Linked DNA regions of Yarrowia lipolytica. The protein of the gene in region 2 purifies or fractionates together with the protein of the main gene of each other region. This does not show direct contact. Links are inferred from orthologs where the notes say so. Each region holds a gene or a part of one and is shown on either strand. Other genes may lie near its edges.

Region 1 (6,182 bases), on a different chromosome or scaffold from region 2:
GTGGAGGAGTACGGACAGACAACTGTGGTGCAGGACATGCATACTCGAAAGCGGCTCATGGGCCAGGAGGCTGATGCGTTTGTAGCCCTTCCCGGTGGCTACGGAACCGCAGAGGAGCTGTTTGAGGTCATTACCTGGAACCAGCTGGGAATCCACTCCTGTCCCATCGTGCTGTTCAACATCAACGGTTTCTACGATGGCCTCATTGAATGGATCAACAAGGCCGTGGAACAGGGGTTCATTGGCAACGGCGCTCGAGACATTGTTGTTGTAGGTGAGACGGCCGAGGAGGTCATTGAGAAGATCAAGGAGTACAAGGTCGCCGAGGGACGGTTCACCCTCGACTGGGGAGACCAGGGCCCTAAAAAGTGTGACCATTAGAGAGTGCTAATTAGTAGATATAATAGATGTTGATAGATAAGGTCCCTGCCATTGCTAGACTCATTGATCTCATTGACTATTTACTATATACTATTGGACATTGAAGTTGGACTAAACCATTACTCCTTTTTGGGAGGAACGTAGACATAGTCTCCGCTCTCGGTCTTGTCCAGCAGACCGTTTCCAAACAGCTGCTCAAACATGTCCTGAGGAACCCAGCCCTTGGTCTGGAAGAAGGGAGTGGACATGGCCTTCTGGTTCCACTCGGCAAAGTCCTTGGCCTGCTTCTCATACTCCTCGTTGGTCCAGTGGACAGGGAACTCTCGCTCCATACCCATGATGGGGGTCCAATCCTGCTGCAGCTTGATCATCTCCTCCGACAGATCAAGGTGGTCCTCGAGATACAGAGGGTTGAGGGCGAGTCTAACAGGCTCTGACAGCCGCTTGACTCGAGGAGAGAAGGAGTTGATGAACTCAGGAGCCTCGTTGTTGAGCAGGAACTCAAAAGTGAAGGCGTTCTGGGTCTGGGCAATCATGTAGTTGACCTGTGCCTTCTCCTGGTCGCTGAGCTGGTCGTAGTTGGGAATGTCCTCGGTCTTGAACAGCTTGAGGCCTCCGTATCGCACATAGTCGGGAGTTCCGATCAACAGAGCGGGCTTAATGGAAGTGTTCTCAAAGTCGACCAGAGCAAGAGAAGACTCGGCAATATCCTTCTGGCCTTCAACAAGCACGTTGATAGGGTGCAGGTCACCAAAGCCCATTCGGGCAGAAAACAGGTTGTCATTCTCAACCTCGGGTCGCAGGAGAAGCTGGGAGGCAAGCTGCTGGTACTTCTCGTAAGTGGCGGTGGCAGCAGCAACCACGGCGGGGTTTCGGTCGCCGTTCTTGGCAAGCTCAGCCAGGTTGTGCAGGTTGATGGCAGCAGTGGCCTCAATGTACTCCTCGGCAGTCTCCCAGGGGCCTCGCAGGGGCGAGTCCTCGGGCAAGGAGTTCTTCCAGAATCGAGACTCGGTGGTGGGTCCAATTCTCCATCGGTCAGCAAGCTCCTTCTTGTCGTTCTCAGCACCCTTGTAGGCCAGAACAGAAGCGTCCTTGGAAGACACGTCCTCGGTGAAGTACAGGGATCCGTACCGGGTGAATTCGGGCTGCAGCAGCGCAGAGTAGATATCAACAACGGGCTTGATCTTGGCGGCTCGCTCGGTCATCTCCTGAGCCACGGGGTTCCAGTGCTTCATCAGAGTGTCTCGGCCAGCAAAGTAGTCCATCAGGGTGTACTGAGTGTCGAGAGGGTTGTCGACAGTAGCGTTCCAGCTGTAAACCTCGGGCACAATGAACTTGTTGTTGGCCACCTTCTCTCGCACAAAGTCCATGGTGGCAACCTCGGACTGGATTCGCTTCTTTCGGAAGAGCTCGGAGCCCAGACCGTAGGGGATTCGCAGCACGTACTGCTTGCCGTCGTCCACATCAACTCGGTAGACTCGGTGGTGCTTGCCCTCGTGTAGCGAAGCCAGCTGGGTGACCTTGATTTCGGTCTCGGCCTCAATGGGAGCCTTACCAGACTGGGGGAGCGACTTGATCACCTCGGCAAGACCCTCGATCGAGAACCGGGTCTCTCGCTTGGCTCGCTCGGCCTCGTTGTTCTTGAGCCAGGTTCCCCAAGTGTACTTGAAGAAGGCGTCTCGGTTGGGGTCATTCTCCTCATTGAGAGAGGTGAAGACGGTTTCGGGCCCGTCGGCGGGCTTGGAGGACTGGAATCTCAGGCCGGAGGCGGCGTTCAGGCGCGGCACGGCTCGTTTGCAAGCGTATCGGAGCATGGTGAAGTGTGAGGAGAGAAAGGACTGTGAGTTCCAGCTTTGCATACTCTGGGGAAGTTAGGTTTGAGATTATGAGTGGATGACGAGAGGTGGAGGATGATCGAGGGGTGCCAGAGAGCTGAAAAAGGAAAGACATACCAATTGAAGAATTTCACGTTGATCAACCGCTCCAGAATGCAAATCGATGCTAAACTGAAGAGGTTGTAGCCTCCCCTCATGCCCCTTCTAGAGAATTCTCACTTTGCAAAACCCAACCTAGTTTTTTCAGAACTAAAACCCGAGCACCATCCATGGGCAAATGACTGGAAAATGACGGCGAGAAAACTGTAACCAAACAATGCAAAGCCCCGAGTTCAACTTCCAGACAGGTCCGCAAATAGCACCATATCTTTCCGCCGCAACGAATTTTTTTCTTCACCCCTACACTCATTTTCTGGCCACCTTGAAATAAGGCAGACTGAGACATGAGGCGGAAGTTTAACGGAGAGAACGGATATGTCCCGTGTCTGCAGTGATACTCTTAACCTGTTGGGTATGTGTAACCATCCATGGCGTGACGCGACGTGACGTGATTGCCAACCCCAATTCCTGTAACACACCACTCGCTCACCCGACACAGACATTCCCGCCGAATTGGAGACAGAACATGATTGCGTCCGCCGCTTTGGTTGTGTCTGTGTCGTTTGGATCCAAGTGATGTGTAGGAGGGAGAGTGTGTAGTTTTATCAGAACTGCTAAATAAAGTGGGAAGGGTATTTGTTAGCTATTTACTTGTACGGGTAGCTACAAGTAGTATACCTATTGCAACCACTACAACCGTGAACCTCTCAGTTATGCACCCCGTTCATCATCATTCATACATATATCTGTGAGCTGAATCTGTATCTGTCGCCATGTAGAGTCGTGATACAGATGGTAGAGTCTCGAGTAGATTGACCAAGCACAGTGTACAGTATAAGTACATACTGTAGTTGCACCTCATCCGCCTCGCTCAGGTCGCCGCTCATGCAGAAACGGGCCCGCCGGGAGAGTTCTTGTATCTTGCGGTGAGAATCTCCACACCAGTCTCAGTGACTAACAGAGTGTGCTCAAACTGTGCGGACCACTTTCCGTCGGAAGTCACAGCGGTCCAGTTGTCGGGCCAGGTCTGGTCCTTAAAGGATCCCAGCGACAGCATGGGCTCGATGGTGAAGGTGTGGCCGGGCTTCATCACGCCAACTGCCTTGTTTCGGGCGTAATGGGGCACGTTGGGGGCACAGTGGAACAGCTGGTTGATACCGTGACCGCAGTAGGTTCGGATCACAGACAGGTTGGCCTTCTTGGCCTCGTTCTCAATCACCTCGCCGAGCGATCTGTACATGACACCGGGCTTGACGGCCTCGATGGCCTTGGCCAGACACTGTCGGGTGGTTTCAACCAGTCGCACAACGTCCTTGTTGGCCTTGGCCTTGTCTCCGACGTAGTAGGTCTCGTTGAGATCGGCATGGAATCCGTCCTTGTAGATGGTCACGTCCAGGTTAACTATGTCGCCGTCCTGCAGAGGTCGCTTGTCAGGAATGCCGTGACAGATGACCTCGTTGACAGAGGTGCAAACGGACTTGGGGAAGTTGTAGTAGTTGAGAGGCGAAGGGTAGGCGTTTCGCTCCATACAAGCAGCATGCACAATGGCGTCGATTTCTTCGGTGGTCACTCCGGGCTTGATGGCGGCGGCACCGGCGTCCAGAACCTCTCGGGCCAGCTTGGACACCTTTCGCATGGTGTTCTGCTCGTCCTCGGAAAGCACGGTGATCTGGGTGGATCGCTGCACCTTCTGTTCACTGATGGGCTGACCGTCTCCAGCATAGTCGGGCTTCACAATGTTGGGCTTGACCTCTCGACGAGGATGCAGGGGGTACACGGCTCGCAGGTCGCCGGAGTAGCTGTAGTTGGGGAAGGGATCAGTGGTTTCTTGGCCAGCGGGACTATGGACCGACTTATGCAGGGCCCAGTTTCGCTTGAAACAGGTCTGGTCGCAGAAAAAGGCGTTGACGCCGGTCTTGAGACAGACGGGGCACTTGAGGCTGCCGTCGACAATCTTTCCGCAATCGGGGCCGCTGCAGGTGTTCTCCACAGAGGTCATTTTTGAGATGTCAGAGTGGTGTGGAAGTGGGTGTGCTTCTGTATGTACAGCTCTAATCTTTTCACCTATCCAGAAGCTTATTTGAGATCAAGTAGTAAGCAACTAAATATTAGAGTTAGTGGAAAGGCTAAGTAAATGACGGTCTTGCGGGAGAGCTCATGAGTGAGGTTTTGGAGGTATATTACACGCGTTTGTGGAGAAGGCGTGGAGAAGGGGTGTCCTTGGAACTGATTACTAAGCCTTTTCGCAACAGTCGGTCTCACTTTCTCAGCTTCAACAGAACCCATGGATATAAGTCCGGTATTATCATATTCCGCACCATCCGCATCATCCAATATGCAGGAATGACATATGAGCGCATTAGCAGATACCGGCACTCAGATGTAGGGATATTGATTCTAGGGTGGGTGAAGTTGCTACAAGTAGCTCTTTCTGTGGTGGACCCCGGAGATACTAGTTATGAAGAGTGGTCATGAAGAGTGGTTATGAAAAGTGGTTACGATGCTTGTTTCTCATACACTAGCTAGTCAAGTATTGATCATGATGGGTATGATGTGAGGGTGAATGGTGAGAATACACTACAGTAGATGATAAGAATGTGTTTCTGTAGCTATTCGCGATCTTCGAATATCACGCTCTTTTCTTCGATTTAATCTTCATTTTCGCTAGTTATTGTGATAATTCGAAGTAGTCGTAGTAAATCAAGTGGCACTGTACCTACCATGGCTTGTACAGGTACTTGTTATGGAATGATCTGAGTGAATCTCAACGGCAAGAGATAACGGATTCTGATTTGCGGGTCACAGAAGGAGATTCTCAACTCTCAATGGGATAGTTCCATAAGAACTTGTACTGTAGCCCATGGGTGTCCAGTTTAGATGCTGTAAGCAGAACACGACGCTCAGTTTCTGCCAGAAACTTGGACGCTAGTTGCCAAAAACTTTTAGCGATGGAAACCCTTTAAAAACTTCTCCAGAACTCTCCAGAACTCTCCAGAACTCTCCAGAACTCTCGTGGTCCTATATGTGCGAATGAACGACCTCCACTCACCGCCATTGGACAGACACAGAGAAGTATGGGGATGGTGAATGTGAACAGGAGACAGTGTAGCGATGAATACGAGATTGGTACCATCTCCAAGATCAGCCGAAAACGTTTCTGTATATCAGCTCCTTTGTTGGATTCCATGCCGACAGTCCACCACAGAAGTTGAACATTCGCTGATGCTACACCTGAATTACCTGTCCCAAAATGGCCAAAAAAAAAAAAAAAAAAAAAAAAAAAAAAAGGACTCTCTTGGGTAATGTGACCAAAATCTGCTATTATTTGCGGAATTTATTAATATTCGGATGTAAAACTGATGCAACAAGTACCCTTCGCCCAAACTGTCCTACAACGAGTGCAAAACTCCTCTATCACAACTACTAACATCGACATGCTACAACACCTCCAAACCTAATCGTATTTTTTTTAGACACCAGGAAGCCTTCGTCAACAGACCCCTGTTTCCCCGAATCTGAGTAGAAAAGACGTAAACCAGGTATTCCAAACTCCAAGATCCCCCAGTAAAAAATTCGCTTCTCGAAGACTGCTCTAAAGGCACATTCACCGTTGCTTGTTGCTGTACCCAGATTGTCAACAGTAACTTTGATCCGAGGTACGTTGTGTGCGATATTGGACGAGCTATAGTCATTATCTCTGAGATCAGAAAGGCTAGAAATAGCTTCTCGAACTTTCAGTATGCCCAAAGATATACCAAAAGCTTTCTATATGTCAATATCTGCTTTTGTCACGCCCAGTCGAAGACGTTATATGCTGGACTCTATCAGATAATGTTTGGGTTGCATCGATCTCTGGTTACTGCTCAG
Region 2 (8,825 bases):
GCGCCCACGCCCGTGGCCAACGAGCTGTCTGAGGTGTCGCATCTGGCAGAGGGCGACAACGCGAGCTTTTCGGCGGGCAACTTCACCGTTCTACAGCTCCCATCGGACCCCTCCCATTGCATTGATTATGCTATTCCAGCAGGCACCCTGGTGATAGTGGATCCCAACAACCCCGACAACAACCGCACGGTTAAGTTGCAAGCGCCGGCGGTTTTCCGGCCCCAGTGTGCTCTGGGAGGAACTCGAGCTCCGGCCCCAAGACCAGAGGAGTCGTTTCCAGACTGGAGCGAATACCAAAAGTACCATCATAACGACCGACGAGACCCATTCTACGGCTCGGTCACGCCCATCGCTTATACCATTGCGGCGTCCACAGTCACAGCTTGGATGCTGCTGATCATTCTGTTTCTGTCGAGAAAACCGTCTCCTCTGTTTCAGAAGATTGCGGTGCTGATTACGGCGGTTTCGCTGACCGTTTTTCTGGCGCAGGCCACAGATACCCTGGAATCGCAATACAATGAAGGATACCAGAATGCATACGAACTACGACACAAAATCATGGGAGGATGGGCATTTCGAATTCTGCAGGTGATCACATGTGTCATCACCTGGCTGGCCCGTTTGCAAGTCGTGATTCGGCTGTTTGACGTGCCCAAAATCAACACTCGATTGGCAGTTGTGGGGTCCACGTTGATTTTCACCAATGCCACCATCTGGGCGTGTCTGAACTTCATTCCCCCGTGGTCGCAGTACGTTCGAAATGCCAAGTCGGTGCTTCCAGTGTTTGGAGCTCTGTGTTCGCTTCTTCTCGAGGTGTTTTATCTCGTGGTGGTTGTCATCTACTCCATTTCCAAACGCAAATACGCATACTCTCGCACGTCTATAGTTATGGCCGCCATCTCGTGGTTGGCCATGATCCTGCCCATGGTCTTTATCGTGTTTGATATTGCTCATTACTGGATTGCAGGCTGGTCAGACTTCATTCGGTGGACGGCTGACGCTGCTGCCTCGGTAGTAGTGTGGGAATGGACCAATGTGATTGTGTACCAGGAGCGAAGAGAGCAACGACAATCAGTCCTGGGCCGTCAGGTGTATAGAGACGAGATTCTGGACTTTAAGGGCGACAACGGAGGAGGAACAGTTGGAGGAGGGCGAACAAAGTATCCTTCTCGCATGGAGGAAGACGACGTTCCTTTCAGATCGTCTCCCAACGACCACCACTTTACTTCCAACATTCCTACTTCTGCTGGCGAGGGACAGTCGTTCCAGTTCTTCAAACGGGCCAGATTGCCCATGTACTCTCGCAAGATTTGGAAAATTGCTCGAGGAGAGTCTGCAGCTAGTAACAACACCCATTACGAGCACGCCATCATTGAGGAAGAGGAGGAGGAGTCCATTGAACGAAACAGACGGACTCCCACTGTTCAGGAGAATGGAGAGGAGGACGACGAGGAGACTTATGACGAAGAGAATGACCAGTACAGCCAGGACAACCATTCGTCTGTGCATTCCTTTGAGTCCAGTCGACCTTCCCAGCACCCAGTTCCTTCCTCCGGAGGCACTCGGGCTGTGGGACACACGCATTTTCCTCTTCCCGGCCAGTCCGAGGGAGCAAACACTACTTCTCCTGCTGCTGCTGCTGCTGCTGCAGAACCTGAACCTGAACCCGTGGCTGGTCCTTCAGGGGGAGCTGCTGCCCATGGAGACTCGGATGACGACTCGGACAACTCGGACGACTCTTCTCTGGCGTCCTTCACCGTGATTCAGCAGACTGGCTTCTCAGTCGACAATCAGGGAGTACCCGAGTACGACGCAGACTCTGCTCCTCCCACTTTTGAACCCATTCCTGGCTTCCATCGCCAGGATTACTCGGATGCAAAGGGATAGGAGACCTATTTATATATTAACGATAATGATTTATGACATTGGACTTTACGATAGGCGAGGCGATGAGGGTGCTTGCGTGTATCGCCGAGATAATGTGAAGTTACTTGTCACTTAAGCCATGCTCATTGTAGCGAGATACAGTAGGATGTTTGTGAGCTTCATTTACCATCCTCTTCAAATTCTCATGACTCAACTCTTTGAATCATGTAGATCGAAGGCAGTCAGTTCAATGTTACATTGTCTATAACTTGCTGAATGATCCAGTTGAAGACTCCAATCAAGTCTCATACGAAACTAGAGTGGTTTTATCACACCGAGTTGTCTTTATTCCGCCGTTGAAACGATATCTATAAATTCACAGCTCGTAAACCAATCCACTATGGATAAATCACAACTGGGCACATCTTCAACGTCGACAACGACAAAGATAATGAATGGTATTGGATTGGAAGCATGAACATATAGCCGTACTCCAGAAATAACCGCCCCAAACTGCTTCCATCTCCCCATCTCCACATCTAACCCCAGGGTTTTCCAAAAAAAAATTTGGTTTTACCATTTTTTATTCAATCACGTGACTTGTATCACTTTACTTGTGTCTCCAACGCCGTTGACAAATTAACCTTCGTCCCCTATAGCTCAGTTGGTAGAGCGTTCGGCTTTTAGTAACCCTAAAGGCATGGTAACCGAAATGTCCAGGGTTCGAGCCCCTGTGGGGGAGTTAACATTGTTAATTTCCTTTTTGTTTTTTTTTGGTGTTTTTCTTTTGTTTTTGTTTCTCCTCGCCTTGGATAAAAATTGTGCACTGGTTTTAGCCCCCTTTCATAAGTACAGTACCGGTACATTGTGCTGGAAGTTGTAGCCATGTCAGATAAAAATGTTGTTTAAATTGCTCACCAAAAAAGTGGAGTCATATTCTGAGATGTTTTGGGCAGTTTTTCGCACGGAAAAAGTTGAAAATCAGATCTACAAACACTTTAAAATATATTTATTGATTCAATTTTGTTGTTTATCACCACTAACACCACGTTTGGTACGTCTTTTGTCCCAGATATTAAACTCCGTTATCAGTGGGGCTTGCATTTATCATGCATAATCGTTTGAATTAGTTTCACATTGAGAATAGTGTCTCTAACTCGGTCAATATCGATGGGGTTGACTAGGTGAAAGTTGTAAATACATTATAAGACTCACCGTGAACTCTAGTAAAAAAATTGTCTTTCTACGACCTCTATTGATCCAGAAAAATGAACATCTCGTGAATCCCCCATTTGCCTGTCCTGATCTTAGAGAAACTCGAAAACTACAATTTTCACAGGGTCAATTGAAGAGCTGGTATATTGCAATGTCATTTAGAGCCTTTATATCAACTTTCGGTGTCAATTTGGGCCCATTTGTCACATTCTCGTGTGTAAATATCGGCTGTCATTTTTTGGCTCGATAGAGTTTTGGTCTAAACCAAACTGCGGTTATTGGAATGAGAGTGGAAAACGTCCAGGTGGGTTGTGAGAGGTGACATGAGCTTGAATCAACCACCAGCGAGTTTCTACCATTGGTTTTTGCCGCTTTCATGGTCTCCTTTTCTCCAAACATCCACCACATTCTAGAAGATTCCAAGGCCTTCTACAACGTTCCACCCGATTCCATAGTGCCGAAACATCACCGGGAATGGGTCCTGAACCGCAAATTTTTCCCGTTTCGCCACCATTCTTCCCATTGACCCGGTTAAAATCGGTTTCTTTGCCACCGGGCGTGAAATCGCCCATCTAGCGCTCATTCTGAATGGTCCAAAACCACCCTTCCCGCTCTAGGAAGAGGCATACCACTGTCGATTCGTACTGCGACCACTCCGCCCAGAAATACTGTACGAATGCTACACTGCTGCCGCCTCTGCTCACACCACCGCCCACATGCACATTTCCCCGCTCATTGGCCCGCGAAAGGGTTGCTACGAGGGCCAGACTGAGGCAGTCTCAGCCTCGCGATTAGGTTAAGGCGTAGGCATATGTGATGCCTTTAGATGTGCGGAAGATGTCGTATCTACTGACGCTAGCAGGGGCAGTACACGTCAACAAACCACATAATCGTCTTCTCCATCCTCGGTTTAGTTGATTTCCCGTCTCTCCCGCCTTTGCCACCGCCACAGGTCCCAATAATCGCCATGGACGATTCCAGAACCGCCTTCAACTTTCAGCTCGGTTAACTTTGACGGTCCCATCGCCAAATATATATATCAGCAGCGGTAGCGGAGCAGACACACATAAAACGCACACGCTAACTACTACTTCAACATTATGTTTCGAGTGAACGCAAAGAACGTGCAGCGATTGAGGGCGCGACCTCTCGCTCACGCCAGCACAAGGACCCAGGTCCAGACCAGAGCTTTGAGTACTGCTGTTCGACCTACGACCTCCGCTACTACCAGCTGCTCTACATGGGGCACCATCAGAACCCCGACGATGATTCGGGCTCCAGGAAGCCTCGGATCGCCGAGATTCATCACTATGACCCAGAACCCCGGTGGCGAAAAGTCGTACCTGGAGTCGTACGGAGTGGATCTGTGCGAAAAGGCCAAGGAGGGCAAGCTAGATCCGGTGATTGGTCGAGACGAGGAGATCAAGCGAACGATCCAGATTCTGTCTCGACGAACGAAAAACAACCCCGCGCTGATTGGTCTGGCCGGAACCGGTAAGACCGCCATCATGGAGGGTCTGGCCCAGCGAATCGTCAACGGCGAGGTGCCCGAGTCCATGAAGGGCAAGCGGGTGATAGCTCTGGACGTGGGGGGACTCATTTCCGGCGCCAAGTACCGGGGCGAGTTCGAGGAACGTCTCAAGGGCATTCTGGAGGAGATTGACAAGGCTGAGGGCGAGGTGATTCTCTTTGTCGACGAGTTGCATCTGCTGCTGGGCCTAGGAAAGGGCGAGGGCTCGGTTGACGCCTCCAACCTGCTCAAGCCCGCTCTGTCGCGAGGTAAGCTGCAGTGCTGTGGAGCCACCACCATTGACGAGTACCGAAAGTACATTGAGAAGGATGCGGCCCTGGCTCGACGATTCCAGTCGGTCATGGTCAACGAGCCCTCCGTGGAAGACGCCATTTCCATTCTGCGAGGTCTCAAGGAGCGGTACGAGGTGCACCACGGAGTGCGACTGACCGACGCTGCTCTGGTGACTGCCGCCGTCTACTCCAACCGGTACATTTCCGACCGGTTCCTCCCCGACAAGGCCATTGATCTGGTTGACGAGGCTTGTTCGGCCCTGCGACTTCAGCACGAGTCCAAGCCCGACGAGCTGCAGGAGCTGGAGCGCCAGACGGTGACTCTGGAGATTGAGCTGGAGTCGCTGCGAGAGGAGGAGGACCCTCTGTCGGTGGAGCGACGAAAGAAGGTGGAGGAGAAGCTCGAATTCAAGAAGGGCGAGATTGAGCGGCTCACCAAGGTGTGGGAGGACGAAAAGCGGGCCATTGACCAGATCAAGGAGACCCAAAAGACCCTTGATGGCGCCCGAACCGATCTCGACACCGCCAGACGAACCGGCGACTTTGCCGCCGCCTCCAAGATCCAGTACCAGGACATTCCCGAGCTGGAGCGGATTCTCAAGGACGCCGAGTCCTCCGACGCCGGCTCTTCGTCTCTTTTGCACGACTCTGTGACCCCCAATGACATTGCCAAGGTTGTTTCTCGAATGACCGGCATCCCTACATCGTCCATGATGAAGGGCGAGAAGGACAAGCTGCTAGATATGGAGGTGTGCATGAAGTCACGTGTTGTGGGCCAGGACGAGGCCGTGGACGCTGTGGCTGACGCAGTGCGACTCCACCGAGCCGGTCTCACCAACCAGAAGCGTCCAGTGGCCTCGTTCATCTTCCTGGGACCCACCGGTACCGGTAAGACCGAGCTGACCAAGGGTCTGGCCGAGTTTCTGTTTGACGACGAGAATGCCATCATTCGGTTCGATATGTCCGAGTTCCAGGAGCGACACTCCATTGCTCGACTCATTGGTTCTCCCCCCGGCTACGTTGGCTACGAAGAGTCTGGAGAGCTGACCGAAAAGGTGCGACGAAAGCCCTACGCCGTGGTTCTGTTTGACGAGTTTGAGAAGGCCCACCCTGATGTGTCCAAGCTGCTGTTGCAGGTGCTGGATGAGGGTACGCTGACCGACTCGCAGGGCCGAAAGGTGGACTTTACCAACACCATTCTGGTCATGACCTCCAACATTGGCCAGGAGTATCTGATTTCGGACTCTCCCGACTCCAAGAAGAAGGTGATTGAGGCGCTCAAGTCGCACTACGCCCCCGAGTTCATCAACCGAATCGACGAGACTCTGGTGTTCAACCGACTGACCAAGGAGGCGCTGACCGAGATTATCGACATCCGGCTGCTCGAGGTCCAGGCTCGACTCGAGGACAAGCGAATCACGCTCTTTGTCGACGACGAGGCCAAGCAGTTCCTCGTCGACCACGGCTACGACCCCATGTACGGCGCCCGACCTCTCAACCGACTCATCCAGAAGAAGGTGCTCAACCCACTGGCTCTCCATCTGATCCAGGGCCGAACCCGAACCGGCGAGAATGTGCACGTGACTGTTAAGGATGGCGACATTTACGTTCCTGCCAACCACGAGACTGGAGAGATTGAGGAGTGAACCAACCTAGCGTCAAGCTGCATGTCTGGTAGACAGAGGTCATCAGATGAAGGTAGACTACACTAATGTATATAGAATAATGTTACTGATTGATAAGTTGAGAGAGAATATTGTAGAGCAGGGCCGATTGTATCAGTGTGTACTCCAACTTGATGAATCAGTCAACACCCCATTTCCAATCGCGTTGATATGGCGTACTTTGAGGTTGTCGGTGTCAACTCAAGCAGCCGTTCCGTAGTGTTATTGGGCAGCGAAATACTCTTATCAAAAGTCACGGAGCAAGCCAATGGACTTGAAAAGTTTGGACAATAGCCAAGAATCTCGATTTCCAAGTGTATTACTTCTCTCCGCCCTTTTCTCCCTCTTCTGAGTACAAGTAAATCTCTGACAGGACTTCACAACAGGTCAACACTATCAAATGATACAATGTGCCCGGGCACTTGAGTTGATTGAAATCATTGACGATCAAATTGCGAAGCCTCGCTTTGCACTCCTCGCTTTGCACTCCTCGCGTTGCACATCCTGTCGGAAGTTTCTGCTCCACCCAGAAACATGTCTACCATTCGTCTCGAAGGACTCTGGCAGGCAGCATAAAAAGAACTGATGACACAGGCATAGATACATTCATCTGTACGCTAAAATAACCCATCTCTAGCCTCAAAAAAAAAAAAATGGACGACACCGGAATCGAACCGGGGACCTCGCGCATGCTAAGCGTATGTGATAACCAACTACACCAGACGCCCTGATTTTTTAAAAACAAGGACATGTGCAACTGAGTTCTGGGTAATGGGTTAGGGATCACTGCCTCTTTGGGTAATCATAATCTATGGATGTTGGAGTTTCACTGATTTCGGAGTTTCACTGATTTAGGAGTTTCAAGCAGATTTTGGAGATACAAGCAAATATATGAGCATATAACAAAGTGTGACAAGTTCATTAGTACTCTTTCAATCAGTTTTCGGTGTTTGGTTAGGCTAAATAACGTGTTGAGGAACTCAAGAGGTGAGTATGGTACGAAGATTCCTCAAAGCGCGGTAGAAAATGGAAAAGCCATTCTTGACGTTTCTCACGTTCATCTATGTGTATTTTCATCGCTGTTTGTTACTCCTTTTCGTTGTCTACACCTTCACCTCTCTAGGTTGAAAATCAATAATCTATATACATGCTTGGTAGCTTGTGGGCCTAGTGCACTGTATCCGAGTCTGTGGAGTTGCATTCTCCATCCATAGAGCACTGGTAAAGTCCATTTGGGTCTGGAACGTCTACTTGAGCTTCTGAATCTCACGTTCTCTCAGATGACGTCTCCAGAGAATCTCGGCGGGGTCCTGCTCCGGCTCCACCCACTGAAAGCCCTCTCCGCTTTCGGACCAGTATAGCTGCATCATTTTCTCATCGTGAGTGGTCACTGGCGCCATTTTTCGGTCAATAAGTGCGTCCAGGACCTCCTCAGACACCTGGCCCTGGTTTTCGGGCATAAGTCGGTCAATCTCGACAATTCGAGACACCATTTTCATCTCGTCCGCGTGGGTAAAGTAGTGCGAGTAGAAAGTGCCCTGCATCCACTTGACCACCTCTCCGTTGCCGCAGAAACGACCAGCAGTTGAAATGACCGAAAAGATGGACACGTTGGCAAAATAAGCCCACCAGAGAATGTGGAAGGTTGCTGGGGCCACACCAAACAGCAGATCGGCAGCCATGAGCCCCTGTCCAGCACCAGAGATGCTCAGGCCAAACAGACCCCACACGCCCAGATATTTAAGCATCTTTTGTTTGATGGACTTGATGTGTTGAGGCGAGCCGGCCGACAGGTCGACGACCTTGAAGGCTGCGGGGAAGTCTGTTTCCCAGAGCGCCTTTCGCAGTGGACCCATGGCCACGGTTCGGGGAATCGGGGTGTCTGGGTTCTTTTGTTGCCACACCTCCATAGCCCGGGTTCCAAACCAAGGAGAGTAGTACTTGGAAGTACACACCGTCTTTTGCAGCATGTCCAACGAAGGCTTTTCAGGTAGGTCCAGCACCTTGTCAATGAGCTCCCGCACCTCGTGAACCTGCGTAGTAAGCCCACTGGCAGCGTATGTGTGTTCCAGCTTGTTGGCAGCATGCAGGGCAGAAACCACGTCTTCAGTTGAAGAAGAAGGCGTCAGCTTGGCCGAGTAAGCTGTAATGGCACCAATGTCGAGCGGACCCGAAAAGGGGACCCGTAAAGCGGCCGTAGTGGAAAATAGACGTCGAGAGAGCATTCTGTGATCTGAAGTTGTTTCCAGTAGTTGCTAGGGGATCAGTGGTTGGATG

The links. Proteins that work in one complex are often made in the same cells at the same time.
Region 1: the proteins of YALI1_F16656g (region 2) and YALI1_D21120g purify together in Saccharomyces cerevisiae (affinity purification with mass spectrometry, with the first as the bait; 3 studies listed by BioGRID). This does not show direct contact. The link is inferred for Yarrowia lipolytica from reciprocal best matches to the Saccharomyces cerevisiae genes HSP78 and AIM9.

Annotation. Positions count from the first base shown.
Region 1 is NC_090773.1:2,108,109-2,114,290, reverse strand, and holds YALI1_D21120g (uncharacterized protein), read right to left. Parts: upstream 2,241-6,182; coding exon 501-2,240; downstream 1-500. Other genes in the region: YALI1_D21145g (uncharacterized protein), read left to right, coding at 1-381; YALI1_D21100g (uncharacterized protein), read right to left, coding at 3,199-4,314.
Region 2 is NC_090775.1:1,661,434-1,670,258, forward strand, and holds YALI1_F16656g (uncharacterized protein), read left to right. Parts: upstream 1-4,181; coding exon 4,182-6,530; downstream 6,531-8,825. Other genes in the region: YALI1_F16614g (uncharacterized protein), read left to right, coding at 1-1,887; YALI1_F16649g (uncharacterized protein), read right to left, coding at 3,313-3,507, 3,551-3,664; YALI1_F16702g (uncharacterized protein), read right to left, coding at 7,796-8,773. UniProt on the Saccharomyces cerevisiae protein: Required, in concert with mitochondrial Hsp70 (SSC1), for the dissociation, resolubilization and refolding of aggregates of damaged proteins in the mitochondrial matrix after heat stress.